3 linked regions of the Drosophila melanogaster genome follow. Changing the gene in region 1 together with any one later gene gives a genetic interaction. Each region holds a gene or a part of one and is shown in the gene's direction. Other genes may lie near its edges. The genes, in order: or, bchs and aux.

Region 1 (5,798 bases):
TTCCGAATATGGAAAGGTTTAAAGGGCAGTTCCTGCACAGCCACGACTTCAGAAGTAGGGAGGTTTTCGAAGGTAATTAAGGAATAACTTCTATTAGGTTATTTCACATGGTGTTCCATTCTGCTCAAGGTAAATCCGTTCTGGTCATTGGAGCTGGTCCCAGTGGCATGGACCTGTCGAACATCATTTCCCGAACGGCGGATCGGGTCACCATAAGTCACCACTTGACCGATATCGGGCAACACTCATTCTTCGAGAACGTACAGCAGAAACCCGATGTGCGGGAGCTCGATGAGAAGGGAGCCTTTTTCGTGGACGGATCGTACCAGGAGTTCGACACCGTCTTCTTTTGCACAGGTTACAAGTACGCCTTTCCCTTCCTGACCGTCGACTCGGGCATCTATGTGGAGGACAACTACGTCCAGGAGCTGTACAAGCAGTGCATCAACATCAGGAACCCATCCATGGCTCTGATCGGACTGCCGTTTTACGTTTGTGCCGCCCAAATGATGGACATCCAAGCGAGGTTCATCATGAGCTACTACAACGGATCCAACGAGTTGCCGTCCACGGAGGATATGCTCAAGGACACCCGCGATAGGATGGGCAAACTGTGGGCGGAGGGACTAAGAAAACGCCATGCCCACATGCTGGGTCCCAAGCAAGTGCGATGCAAGTTGGCTTTACTTCTCTATCTGGTTATTAATTCTATTCTCATTTATTATCAAGATCGACTATTTCACGGACTTGTCGCAAACTGCAGGAGTTAAGAACATCAAGCCTGTGATGACCAAATTGCACAACGAAAGCAGCAAGTGCTTCAATGAGAATTTGCTCCACTTCCGGGAGGACAATTTCGCGATTCTGGACGACGAGACATTCATTAAACTCAACTAGATCCTGAATCAATCAATAGGAGCATTAGATTCCAAAACATCGTTTTTGGACTTCCCTTCGAAATAAAATAAATTTCCAATTCTTGTATTCCAAAACAACAGTTTAAAAAATGAGCTTTTATTCTCGAACAAAAACTTTTTGAACACCGGCAAACATTTGTTTGAACATGTTTGTTGGTATTTTTCCAAACAGCTGATTGCGGGCAGCGCACATTCACCAGCTCTGGCCACACTCGCCCGCCTCCTCGCAATCACCTTCTTGCATAATTTTCGGAACACCTCACTTCGCTTTCAAAGTTCGCTGATTTAGGTCGGGTCTTCAAAAGTGGAATAGCGCCTCGTCATGCAGTGTCCGTTCTTGAACCGCTTCACCGCCAGCTTCATCCGCAACTACGCGGAGACGCTGTGCCAATCCTACGGGAGCCACTGTCCCGTGGTTGGGAAGACCTTGGTATCCGGCGAGAAGAAACTTTCACTCGTCGCCGCAAGTGTTACAAGGTCTCACTCGACGGGGGCGAACGCCCACGCCAATGCTGGTGGCCCCGCAACTGCCAACGCCACCGCTCCCGTCTCCGCCCCCGCCTCTGCCGATCCTGGCAAGGCATCCGCCAAGGAGACCTTTCCCTACGAGCGCTTCTTCAACGAGCAGATCATGAAGAAGAAGCGGGACCATTCCTACAGGGTCTTCAAGAAGGTGAACCGCCTGGCAGGCGACGGGCTTTTCCCCCACGCCCTGGAGTACTCGGAGCGGACGGAAAAGCCCATTACGGTGTGGTGCTCCAATGACTACCTGGGAATGTCCGCCCACCCCGGCGTCAAGAGGGCCGTCCAGGACGCGCTCAATAGGCACGGATCGGGGGCTGGCGGCACCAGGAACATTTCGGGTAACTCTCTTCACCACGAGCGCCTCGAGAGTAAGCTGGCTGAGCTCCACCAGAAGGAGGCTGCGCTGCTGTTCACGTCGTGCTTCGTGGCCAACGATTCCACTCTCTTTACGCTCGCCAAGCTCTTACCTGGGTGCGAGATCTTCTCGGACGCAGGGAACCACGCTTCCATGATTATGGGCATACGGAACAGCGGGGTTCCCAAGCACATCTTCCGGCACAACGACGTGGACCACTTGCATCAGCTGCTGAAGCAGACGGACAAAAGCGTGCCCAAGATCGTCGCATTCGAGACGGTACATTCCATGACGGGGGCCATCTGCCCGCTCGAGGAGCTGCTTGACGTGGCCCACGAGCACGGGGCCATCACGTTCATCGACGAGGTGCACGCCGTGGGATTGTACGGTGACCACGGGGCCGGGGTCGGTGAGCGGGATGGTGTGCTGCACAAAATGGACATCATATCGGGCACCCTGGGCAAGGCGTTCGGTAATATTGGTGGCTACATAGCTGGCACCCATAACCTGGTCGACATGATTCGGTCGTATGCGGCCGGTTTCATCTTCACCACCTCACTACCGCCGACTGTACTGTGTGGCGCCCTGGAGGCCGTCAATATCCTGGCATCGGAGGAGGGTCGCCAGCTGCGCCACTTGCACCAACGGAACGTCTCCTACCTGAAGAGCCTGCTGAAGCGAGAAGGTAAGACGTAATTCTGGCATTTATGTAACTCGAATTGAAGGTTATTCTCGCACTTTCGTTTTATTTTAAGTGATGGCTATAAATATAGAAAGAGACACTTAACTTTCAGTTTACTGACTGCATATATAATTGGCCCCATTTCAGGTTTCCCCGTCGAAGAAACGCCCAGCCACATCATTCCCATTAAGATCGGAGACCCTCTGAAGAGCAGTCAAATCTCAAACGTGCTGATCGAACAATTCGGACACTACCTGCAGTCGATTAACTACCCAACCGTCGCCCGGGGCCAGGAGAAATTGCGGCTGGCCCCCACCCCGTTCCACACTTTTGAAATGATGAACGCCCTGGTTACCGATCTAAAGAAAGTGTGGGAAATGGTGGACCTCTCTACAAACGTCCCTCTTTCGCCCAACGCATGCATGTTCTGCAACTCGGAGAGCTGCTGGCACCAGGACACCTCCCCGGATCTGGAGTGTGGCATTCCCAACTGCCCTCGCCTGGAGATCTCGCTTGCAGCATAGTTGCCTCTTGGAAACACGACTATAAATGAAGCATTCGAATCATAAAGCTATGCCTAAATTATCTGTGCGGTTTTGGACAAATAAACAATGGTTTTGGTGCAATATACATAAATGACGAAATTTCAATTGGAATGGGCTAAGCTGATTGATGACGCTTCTATATGGGGTGATAAGACATGGACTAGAGTGTCACCTTCGCTATGAAGTTGCGTGTTTTTCGAGCCAGCTCCATGCAAATGATATTCAAATTGGGGAATCGCGTGGAAATATTTTCATTGAACCTTGATCCACACTCGTAAGCACTTAAAGGGCTTACCTAGTTTGAAATATTTATATGAAATTAGTCGCATATCAATTTCAGCAGTGGCAGGCTGAATCAGCACAATTATTGCTGATAACCATGACCATCCTATTACGGACCAATGTTTTTGATAATACCACAATAGATAATGATCCGATTTTATACACTTTGATTAGAGAAGATTTTGTACACATTTAGTAAGATCTATTGGGTCAGAGACTAGCCGAACAGCTGGAGATCGTAAACAATGATTCTACCAAATAGATCGGTGCTGGACTCGAAGACGAACTTTAGCTTTGAGCAGGGGTTTTCCCGGACTGATTCCGCAATCTGAAAAAGCTGTGGGGAGTTGATATCTTCTGGGTAGAATGGCTCTTGGTGAACTTGGGCTCCGTCAGCGGAGTACATGATCAGTTCGGATTTTTGGCCAGAGAATCCGCCTTGGAACTGGAAACTAAATCCAGCTACTTTCTGTGGCTCCTCCAAGCTAATGGTAATGAATTGGGGGGTTCCCTGAAATGGCCGTTTGGAGTTATATTCTTTTTTTCCAAATCTTAGGATGATACCTCATCTGAATTCCAAGAAGTTTCTTCCCGCGTATCAAACATGAATTGCTTTCCGTGCTGCTTCACATCTCTGTTTAAAACCGAGCTCACCCTGCAAACTATACGTTAACTAAAGGGAGTTACAAAATAAAACCCAGAGTACCTGCAGCTGTATTTTACTTTTGTCAAAATATTCATAATTCAATAAAAATAAGAAATAAACAAATCGGAGACCGCGAGGTTAAAGGCATTAGAGATGGGCAACAATCAGAAATCCATAGAATTTTTTTTTGTACGGATTTTTAACACCCGATTTAAGAAATTGCTTTAAAAAATATATTTTCCCTAACTTTCTAAAATATGCATGATTCTTATTAGATTTTTGAAATAAATACGTCAGATAAAGATATATCGATATTATAGATGCTATACCAAGTATTGATTTTGCAGCCCTCGTCGAAAAAGCAAAACAGCTGGCAGTTTAAACATTTTCATTTTTTTTGTTGACTTATCTTAGAAGTTGAGATGATAAAAGCCATTCTCGTTTTTAACAATCACGGGAAGCCGCGGCTATCGAAGTTCTATCAGTATTTCGTAAGTACTGCGACATATAATCCATATAATCTAGTTCATAATAAATTGTCACTATCATTTGTAGGATGAAAGCCTGCAGCAACAAATAATCAAAGAGACTTTCCAATTGGTGTCCAAGCGGGACGATAATGTTTGCAACTTTCTGGAGGGCGGAAGGTGAGCAATATTGTTCCCGCAAATTCCTGGAATATCTTAAAGCACCTCTTTCCTCCAACAGTTTGATTGGCGGATCGGATTACAAACTCATCTACAGACACTATGCCACGCTGTACTTCGTTTTCTGCGTGGACTCCTCGGAGAGCGAACTGGGAATCCTGGACCTGATTCAGGTGTTCGTGGAAACCCTCGACAAGTGCTTCGAAAACGTGTGTGAGCTGGACCTGATATTCCACGCCGATGCCGTCCACCACATCCTCTCAGGTTGGGAAAGCTACTTTGGCAATCCATTCAGATTCAGCTATCATGAATTCGTTTCAGAACTGGTAATGGGCGGAATGGTCCTGCAGACAAATATGAACGACATAATGGCCAGGATCGAGGAGCAGAACAAGATCGTCAAGCAGGAAGCGGGCATCTCGGCTGCACCTGCCCGAGCTGTGAGCGCCGTGAAGAGTATGAACATTCCGCAACAGATTAAAGACATCAAGCTACCTGATCTGCCGCAGGCCATTAAGGACTTTAAGTTCTGACAAATGTGCGTCTGATATAACTCTCTCGTCTAATTGTAATCTGTTGAATCTAGTGCTTTTTCGCAGTCCTTCATGAATTTCCAACAGCTGTCGACTGTTCCGTAATATTAGGTCCCACGTACTCTATATAACTCCCCTACCATAATAAAAATGCAAATGAATTACCAGTAGCGAGAACGAGCCTTACGATTTTGATAGCTTAACAATGCGAAGTTCAACCACTTCCGTTCTATATCGAATGGGGTTTAAAATGTACATACAAAGTGTCTTGCGATGACGTATTCGCATGATCTGTGTGCTGCATATATTAAAGATTTATACCTAAAACGGTGTCCGCTGTATTAAACATGTTCATAATTCTACAATCAACTGTTTGTAAGATCATCTTCTTCGCCGACTTCCAGCATAACTTGCATTATTTTCCGCTTCAGCCTCTTGCGCGAAACTTCAGAGTTCAGGTTACGGAATTCACTGGCGATTAGTTCGCCAAATGCGTCCCATTGATCACGACCACTTAATGGTAAGTGGAAGGGAGAGGGAGCAGCTGGAGCTTCGACAGTTCGATTTGGATCAACGAATTTGGAAGACGGCGCAGGTTCAGGAGGCATCGGAGGAATGGGTTCGCTGACCTTCGGAGGCTGACAGATTTCTGCATCGTTCTCTATG
Region 2 (3,600 bases), on another chromosome or scaffold:
GGAATATCCTTGGCCGCCGCCCGGGGTCTTGCCAATTTCGATACGCAAATGTTTCGCTCATTGTCAACAACAGCGTCGTGATGAAGTGGAGGACTCTGGGGCGAAAAATAAAAGTTATTCGTTCCGACAGAAAGGGGGAAGCCCCGCCTAATGAGTCCCCCATGAATGCTGTGCAAATGATTTTTGGGGTTACACTTTTAAATTTTCCGGAAACGCCTCGAGCAGCATATGCGGTCCTCGGAAAATTCACTTAAAAATCCACTTAAAATTTTGCTGGGTATTGCACTTCACCTTTAAAGGAAGATTAAGCGGATGAAATAGGCTGATGTCACTTTACTCATAAGAGTTTGTATGTAAATAGAATGTTCGCGCCAACTTCACGAGTTTTTTTTTTTAGTGCGCTATCAATCTACCGAATATCATTTTACTGGTCTACCCCTTCTTGGCACCTGAGATATTGTTCCCGTTTTTGTCAGTTGTAGGGGGCCTCTATTTATAACTGAAACGGAAAAATCCATTAGAATATTGCCGCAGACAAAGGACTTTCCCCACAACCCTGCCCCACAAATCGCGGTGGGGGGTTTGTCGGGCGGGAAAGTGCGCAAAGTACCTGTCTGGGTGGGAAGATATAATACCTGGAGAAGTGCCAATCCCAAACGCTTTCCCACATAAACAAGCATTAGGGAACTCCGAGCTTAGCTTATGTGGCTGGCTGGCTAGCTGGAAAACTGAAGAGGACTGTGGGAGCGGGTGGATACGGGCAGTCACGCAAGGGGTCAGTGGGCGTGGCGGGGCCAACGCCCAAAGGTAAACTATTTTTGGGGAGCGAGGCAGTTGGTCATGGGGATAACTACTAACTAAATATTTAGCACGACACGCCTTTATTCTTTTGCACCCCTAATTGATTCAAAAACGAAATTTTATCCGCATTAAAATGGGGAGACACAGCGAATTGGTTTCGGGTACAGGGAAATTAGATCAGAAGGACGTGCGTGGCATTTAATGGCCTTACCAATCAATCAATCCCAATAAACTTACAGCATTCTCTGCCACAAATGAGTCAGCAAATAGCATCATTATCAACGCATGAAGTTCGCCATCGGGTGTTCGTTCAATCAATATGCAAATAAATTTGTTGTCATATCCGACAGCTATCTGTTGATGCTGACAATTATAACAACTGTAAGTACAAACACAAATATTAATAACCCCTAGCCAGAATCAATAAAGAATCTCACACTCATGCGAATATTGGGCGAGAGAGAAATTTGGAAATTAATGGCCAATGGCCTAAGAATACCAATTGTTAGCCGAGATGCGAAAGCACTCATATAATATTATTAACAATAATGAACTTAATTATGAGCACACATGAACATTAAGTAAGTGCTAATTAAGTATCAATTTAGATGCTAAGTTTATGAGATAAATCAGTTTAGTTCTATTAAACTGTTGCCATTAGTTTAGTAAGCGATCTAATATATACAATCTGAAGATAAGCACATCGTTGGCGACATACAAAAGATTTTGTATTAAATAAAAATAATAAAATGAAGTAGATTAATACAAATCGGTCTTGTTTATTTGCTTATCAGTACAGTTGAATTTGAAATGCCAAAGCTAGACCGCCGATCATAATTCAAAATGCAGCACTGGCGTTTGGTCTTAATGAGCACTGGCTGCGGTGGTGGAAAATGTGAACAGCTGATACCACTGGCAGCGCTACGCAACACTCGACAGAATAACGAAAAGAGAGTACAGACGAAAAGCTGGAGAAAATTTGGTTCATATTTTCATACGTGAAACAAGATGTAAAACGAGTGCATTTAGGGCCCAAAATAGTGAAAACTCACACGGGAAACACAATGCTAGCGACGGATAGCAAAAGTAAGTGACGGCTGCACGAAATAAGCCGGAAAAGTGCATGTGAAAATTTTCAAATTCGACCTATCTGCTGGTTTGTTCAAGGGTGGGTGGCGGGCAGAGAGGCCGAGTGAGAGTACGCGAGAGAGGAAGAAAAATCAATAAAATTGTCGTGAGGCGCGATTGACTGGAGCAAAACAAAGTGCGACACGAAAGAGAGCGCTAAGCGGACTACGAAAAAGCAACAACAGAGCGGCCGTTAGCTGAACCAAATGCGTTGGCAGAAAAGAGAGGTCAGATAGTCGGTAGTTTCAAAGGGAGTTGGAGTAAACAAACAAGTGCGCAATAAGTAAACCAAGAACAGCTGTCTCGCACAAAATGTAAATATTTCCCGAATATATGGAATAATAACCACTATCGGTTAATCGCTTGCTCGCTATGTAGGCGTACGAATCGAATCGAGTCGGCGACAGAGGCAACGTTCATTCACTCGCGAAAAGTTAATACTCGCACCGAATACAATGATCGCACTTTTCGTGTGATTCACCTCCAGCGGCCGCTAATTAAGGCGGCGGCAGCAGAAATAGAATAGCTGCGAAAACAAGCCATAACGCCAACTGCACTGTGCGCGGTTGTGATTTGGAAGCCACTCAATTGAAAGTGTCAGTGCTGTGCAAATAAATCGCCAAAATATCTCACCTCCAATGTTCAAAAGATACAATATCTACAATAAGCACAGGTTCTATGGAAACATATGTTTAAATGCGAAGCGACACGTTTTGAACTGAAACCTGCATGAAAGTGGGAAAGTTCATTAAACTACAGCAGTAAAAAGTTTCAAAATACTATGAAATATCTTTTTACACCTTTATCGAATAATATATAATCTTTTTAAACGGCATAACATTGTAAACAAGTGAATCACCATTATTAAAACACATGTAGAAAGTGCCACCCCCTTGCAAAAAAATCAATGACATTCCTCATAGTACAGCCATTAGATTAGTCTTATATTTTGTATTAAGTCAACTTAATTTTCTCTCTTTTAGATTAATCTTACCGCAAATCAACAAACACAAAGATGAATGTAATGCGTAAGCTGCGCGGAGCGGCCAGCGCAGGCAGCGTCAGCGGCAGCAGTAGCGGAACCTCGACGGCGAACAACAGTTCACCAGGGAGCAGCAGAACGGATGCTGGTGCACCGACCGCTGCAAATGGACGGAATGCGGAGGAGGCGCTGATGGACGCCCGCGTCCAAGTGAGCCTCACCACGCTAAAGAAGCTATTCAACGAATACACTCATCCGCGGGAGCCGCTGAGCGAACAGGAGCGCGATGACAAGCTCTACGAGATGCTGCCCCTCTTCTGCAAAGTGAGTGAATCAGTCGGTATGGAGGAATAGGCCACTAACTCCCCATTCTTACAGGTCTTCAGCAGCTGTCCGTCAAACGACATGAGCGAAAAGTTCTGGGACGTGGTCGCCTTCTGCCAGCAAGTGTCCCGTCTCATGGTCAGCGAAATCCGCAAGCGCGCCTCCAACCAGAGCACAGAGGCGGCATCCATTGCCATAGTCAAGTTTCTCGAGGTGGAAACCACCGAGGAAACCAGCAGCGGATGGATGCTTTTGGCTACCCTCAATTTGTTGGCCAATGGAGACGTATCTCTCATACAGGTATGTTTCATTTATAAACTGCTATAGTATCTTATGGTAAAAATACATCGACGTAATCAAAACAA
Region 3 (6,112 bases), on another chromosome or scaffold:
AGAGATGAAATAGTTAATCAACAAAAGAATGTCAGTAAATCAAAATTATCAGAAGATGAAATTGTTAACACTTCAAAAGAAATCGTTAGTTTTAAATTGCCAAAAGATAAAAACGTTTACGAACAATTAAATCACAACTTTGATAAGGAAGTACTAAGAATATGTCATGTAACTGAAAGTGAGTTAGAATACAAAATAGGAGAAAATGTTAGCAATAGGTTACAACTAGAATTCGATAGGTTGTTTAGAAATTTTTATATAAATGCAAAAAGGCCAAATGAACCGACAGTTAGAAGTGAAATACAATTGTGTTTGAAAAACCCGAAACCGTTTAGCTGTTCTCCTAGGAGGCTTTCATACACAGAAAAAGACAGGTTACAAAAACTATTAGACGAATATTTGGAAAACGGATTTATACGACCAAGCGACTCGGAATATGCATCGCCTATTGTTTTAGTGAAAAAGAAAACTGGAGACTTACGTATGTGCGTCGACTTTAGAAAACTTAATAAAATGACAATGAAAGACAACTATCCTCTACCTCTTATAGATGACTTGTTAGATAGAATGAATGAGAAAACTGTTTTCACCAAACTCGATCTTAAAAACGGTTTTTTCCACGTGCATGTTAAAAAAGAATCAATAAAATACACCTCTTTCGTTACACCATTAGGCCAATACGAGTGGCTGCGAATGCCATTTGGCCTCAAAAACGCCCCGTCTGTGTTCCAAAGATTTGTTAACAAAATTTTTGCTGATATGATTAGAGAAAACAAAGTAGTAGTATATATGGACGACATTCTATTGGCAACCGAAAATATAAACGAACACTTAGAAACGTTGAAAGAAATTTTTAAAAGATTAGTTGAAAATAAACTTGAATTAAGAATAGACAAATGTGAGTTTATGCAATCGAGTATAAAATATCTTGGGTTCATAATAAATAAAGACGGCATAATGCCCAATGACAAAGGAATCGAGGCAATAAAAAATTTCCCAATACCTAATAATGCTCATACAGTACAAAGTTTTTTGGGATTATGCTCATATTTTCGACGGTTTATAAAAGATTTTTCTAGACTAGCTAAACCATTGCATGACATTCTAAAAAAAGATAAACCGTTCAAATTTGGTAGTGAAGAAATGATTTGTTTTAATATGTTAAAAGATAAATTAATACAGTCACCGGTCTTAGCTATATACAACCATAAACACGAAACAGAATTGCATTGTGATGCAAGTTCTTCTGGATTCGGTGCTGTACTTATGCAAAAGAAGGAGGACCAGAAATGGCACCCAGTTTCATTCTTTTCAAAACGGACAACAGATATTGAATCAAAATACCACAGTTTCGAGTTAGAAACTTTAGCCATTGTTTATTCGTTACGTAGATTTAGAGTTTATCTTCATTGGAGGACATTTAAAATAGTCACCGACTGCAACTCATTAATTTTGACCCTAAGCAAAAAAGAGCTAAACCCTAGGATAGCCAGGTGGGCTTTAGAATTCCAAGGTTATGATTTTGAAATTGTGCATAGGGCAGGTAGCCGCATGCAACATGTTGACGCACTGAGTAGGTGTACAAATATTATGGTAATACAAACAAACAGTTTCGAAGATAATCTAGTTATATGTCAAGGGAAAGATACAAAATTAAAAGAAATCAGGCAATTGTTAGAAAACACAGAAAATAAATTGTATGAGATGAGAAATGGTATAGTTTACAAAAAGACAAATGAAAATAGATTGCTGTTCTACGTTCCGATAGAAATGGAAGAACAAGTGTTATACAAATATCACAACGAACTTGGACACGTAGGAAGAGACAAAATGATAGAAGCTATAATGAAAAACTATTGGTTTCCAAATTTAAAACAGAAGTGTAGCACACATATCAGCAACTGTTTAAAATGTATTTCATTCAGTCCCAAAACAGGAAAAACAGAAGGATTTCTACACAACATACCTAAGGGAAACAAACCTTTTGAAATAATCCATATTGACCATTATGGTCCAGTAGACTTGGCTAGACCGAAGAAACATATTCTAGTGATAGTAGATGCATTCACAAAGTTTGTCAGACTATACGCAACAAAAACTACGAACACAAAAGAAGTCATACAATCGTTAAATGACTACTTCAGAGCATACAGTAGGCCTAAGTGTATCATATCAGATAGAGGAGCATGTTTCACGTCTGGCGATTTTGACTCATTTTTGAAAGAATGCAATGTTAAACACATAAAAATTGCAACAGGATCGCCACAAGCCAACGGTCAAGTTGAACGTATAAACCGAAGTCTTGGTCCAATGATTAGCAAGTTAATTGAACCTGATCAAGGTCTACACTGGGACTTAGTCTTAGAAAAGGTCGAATATACCCTGAACAATACACTACACCGCAGCATTAAACAGTATCCTAGCATAATGTTATTTGGGTTACAACAAAAAGGACAAATTATGGATGAGTTAAAAGAAAAAATTGAGGAAATTGGAGAAACGATTGAAGAAAGAGATTTAGAAAGTATTAGAAATAAAGGCGAGGCAAGTCAGAAAATAGCACAAGCATACAATAAAGAATATGTTGACAAAAAACGAAAACGATCAGGAGTGTTCACAAAAGGCGACTACGTCATGGTTAAAAATTTTGACTCAACAACAGGCATAGCTAAGAAGTTAATTCCAAAGCATAAAGGACCCTATGTCATAAGCAAAGTTCTCAAAAATGATCGCTTCCTTCTGGAAGATGTTGATGGATTTCAAATTTCTCGCAATCCTTACCGGGGTGTATGGAGCATACAGAATATAAAACACTGGCAAAGAAAAATTAAGAGTCTACAAAATAGAAAGTATAATTTGAGAAACTCTGTACAAAATAGAAAGTATAATTTGAGAAACTCTGTACAAAATAGAAAGTATAATTTAAGAAACTCTGTACGAAATAGAAAGTATAATTTAAGAAGCAATTGTAAAACAAAGAAAACAAACAAGAAGAAAAGAAAACCAAAAAAATGTTTAAGACCGTTCAAAAGTATCTCCACTAAGAAGAATAAAATAAGAAACAGGACCCTTAGCTTTAAGAAACGTTAATTGTTATAAAATCCTACGATCGGGAGATCTAGTTGTCAGGACGGCCGAGTTGTAGTAGGCTGCTCCTTCTACCCTCTTCCTTTACTCTTAGTCATACATACCTAATTATACATAGCCAATCTAGTCATAAGCTTATACACTCATACACCCATCCTTAACATACAAATATTATCGAGAAACTTATCGACTAATCGACTCGCCACTCTGCAGAGAGCGCGGCAGTCAGTCGCTGTTGAACCAAGCTAAAGGACAGATCAAAATAAAAGAGACACGTGAAATTGTATTAGAATATTAACTTCTGTAAACGGCGGCTAAAATTGTATTTTTTCTTATAACACACTTCAAAATAATTTCAACAGCCCGTTCATAAGGTACTAAAAAAAGATTTTACCATCCCTTTCGATGTGTTTTTTTCGATATAACCAGTCTCTGCCATCCATTGCTTTTTGTTTGTGCCGCAAGCTTCCAGTATTTATAAATTTCTGGTATCAAATTTCTGACGATAATAATAATAATATAATAATAATGGTTTTAATAAATTTATTAAAAATTAATTAAACTGGTTTCTTCCGCAACTTAGCTGACTTGGTATTAGAAATTAGGCGATAATCAACAAAAGTGGAAAACAAAAGTTAAGAATAGCTGTTAAAATAATGACGATTACCCGCTTCAGTGCTATTGCAATCAATATCCAATAAATAAGGAATGCTGGCTTAACAGATTTCCCGCGTGTTCTCAAATAAATTATTTACAGGCCAGGTATGGCTGCTCCTCTGCAGTTTGGCTGCTTTTGCGTGATGTGCTGGGTGCGTTGGGCTCAGAAAGCGAAACACCAAATAAATTGAAACTTTCGTTTGCACGCTACAGTTTTTACTTTGACGGAAACGATGCTGAAACGTCGAAAGCCGCATTTCCTGAGTAACAACGTGCTCTACCTAAGATCATTCATCTTCTGGTCGAATGAAACTGGAAAGTTCAACATTCAAAACAGAAGTAATCGATACCATAATTTGCATTAAATGAACCACAAATGAGAGATGAAAAATAAGATGATAAAGATTCGTCTAGAGATCTTTCTGTCTTTCTATTCTGCTGGGTAACGCTTTCTGTGAGCGGTCAATGCGACGATTACCGGCAATTCGATTTTCTCATCGGGCGTTGGCAAAGATATTACGCATACGCCTCGGTCACGCTAACGACAATCCAATAAGTAACTAATAAAGGAAAATTGGCCGACAAAAAGCTGAAAGAAACAATTAGGAAAATTGTAAATTGCGTTTTCAACTCAAACGCGGCCGCTAAAGTTCACGTCCGCCGCTACTATTGCCGCTGACAATGGAGCTCTGGGTGGCTAACCGAGCATTGCTCGTCGACGCAAATCGCTGCGCTCTGCTCGGCAAAACTTTCACTTTCAACTCGACTCGGCCAACTACATCGCTTTGCGCCTCTTCTCCAATACTCCTGCCTAAATCCACGCTATCGCTTCTTCCTATGACTTGGCTTGCTTGCAGGTGGCCATGAACCCTATTCCTAAAGATTACGCGGTCAGCAAATCGATTTATTGCTAGAAATCGGGACAAGGGCACAGCAAATACCTGTAAATTCTTTAGTGTTTTTCTTTGTTTCCAAAACATAGTTGCCAATTTTTCCATGATAAAATTGATTAGTATTAACCGATTTATTTTTATTTAATGATTGCAAAACTGTGCTACTAAATGCAATAGGTAGTCTTAAAATATTTCGGAATATCGACAGAATCTGGCAAGACAATTGTGTTAATTGTTCCCGAGACGAGATGTCATGCTGGCCAAGGTACTTCCTTAAATTGAAAATTAACTTCGCAAGACTAAACGTTATTATCGCCCTTTGTTCAAATTTGTCATGCACATAGAAATAATTACTAATTGTGCTAATAGCTGACACTTCAAATGAAAATGAAACATTCATTCGGAGGTTTATAATTTTTAAAGAAATCGAATAAAATGTACTCCCATTTGGACAAAACAGAATTTGTTTCGAAGAGCTTACTTTTACAATAGGTAGGCAAGCTTTACTTTCATTAGTATTTCAATAGTTTTTCGGAGAACCATTTTAAATAATTCTGAGAACACACTAGGCAAACAAGATAATTATACCACCTAATAGACCATGCTCATTGACAATCTCGATCGCATACCGATTCGACAAAGTTACCCTAAGAGCGTTAAAACTAGTTCCGAACTTGAACTGTACGGACTTTCAGGACTCTTTTCAGCCGTTCCGTCCTCTCCGGTCGGGAGACTTTGACAGAGTTGACACTGCAGTTAAATTTGGACAGCGGTCCGTCTTTTGGGTCACTGCTTACCGCTAAGAATTACGTCACTAACGCCATCTGAAGATTGTAGCGATGAGTAAGAGGCGGAAGCCAAGACATTCATCTCGAGCGTAGCCCACTGTTGCGGTCATAAGCGTCGCATAACAGCGGCTTGGGGACGAGTGATGAAATTTGAAATGCAGTCTGCACTTATAGTTTCCCTTGATTCGATTCGAGTCATGCAGAGAGCGATGTCTTTTGCATTCGGAATCCACTTAATCACGGGCTTACAGCCACGTTGCTTAGAATAGCTGCCCCGGCGAAACCAGCTCTCTCTGTGACCTAAAGAGGGGGAGGCTCAATTGGGCTTCCATTAACTTCTTGGGGCCCCTGTCAGGTGTCAATCAAGTCGAGTTTGCTCTGCAACGCGTCGGATATTGTGAGGCGGGCATACAACAAAGACTGAATTTAAATGGCGGCCACGCCTGCAATCGCTCACGCCTCCAGCTGGAGAGGTTGAACCCAAATCAAAGGGGTCGGTGGCACAAGTACACTGCGAGAATGAATATGATTCTTTCGGGGCTCAGCTCATACTTCAATTTACACGTCCCAGAGGGATTTGGACGTGGCCAGGGCTCGACCGGTACAGATATTACACATCAGCACAGCTACTTGGTGCTCCCCCTAACTCAGATTTTTTCCCGTGTAGCCCGCGTAGGCAATCGATTG

Evidence for each region.
Region 2: of or (region 1) and bchs, changing one enhances a phenotype caused by changing the other (phenotypic enhancement), as found in Drosophila melanogaster (one study listed by BioGRID).
Region 3: of or (region 1) and aux, changing one enhances a phenotype caused by changing the other (phenotypic enhancement), as found in Drosophila melanogaster (one study listed by BioGRID).

The regions. Positions count from the first base shown.
Region 1 is NT_033778.4:23,963,646-23,969,443, forward strand, and holds or (orange), read left to right. Parts: upstream 1-4,293; 5' UTR 4,294-4,374; coding exon 4,375-4,443; intron 4,444-4,507; coding exon 4,508-4,599; intron 4,600-4,660; coding exon 4,661-4,863; intron 4,864-4,920; coding exon 4,921-5,132; 3' UTR 5,133-5,298; downstream 5,299-5,798. Other genes in the region: Fmo-1 (Flavin-containing monooxygenase 1), read left to right, coding at 1-72, 130-665, 730-897; Alas (aminolevulinate synthase), read left to right, coding at 1,240-2,482, 2,627-3,003; CG34213 (uncharacterized protein), read right to left, coding at 3,524-3,817, 3,871-3,961, 4,013-4,047; CG10904 (uncharacterized protein), read right to left, coding at 5,498-5,798.
Region 2 is NT_033779.5:5,905,401-5,909,000, forward strand, and holds the start of bchs (blue cheese), read left to right. Parts: upstream 1-1,768; 5' UTR 1,769-1,887; intron 1,888-2,912; 5' UTR 2,913-2,944; coding exon 2,945-3,235; intron 3,236-3,289; coding exon 3,290-3,535; exon of another isoform or gene 3,536-3,600.
Region 3 is NT_033777.3:4,208,238-4,214,349, forward strand, and holds the start of aux (auxilin), read left to right. Parts: upstream 1-3,545; 5' UTR 3,546-3,575; intron 3,576-3,670; 5' UTR 3,671-3,678; intron 3,679-6,112.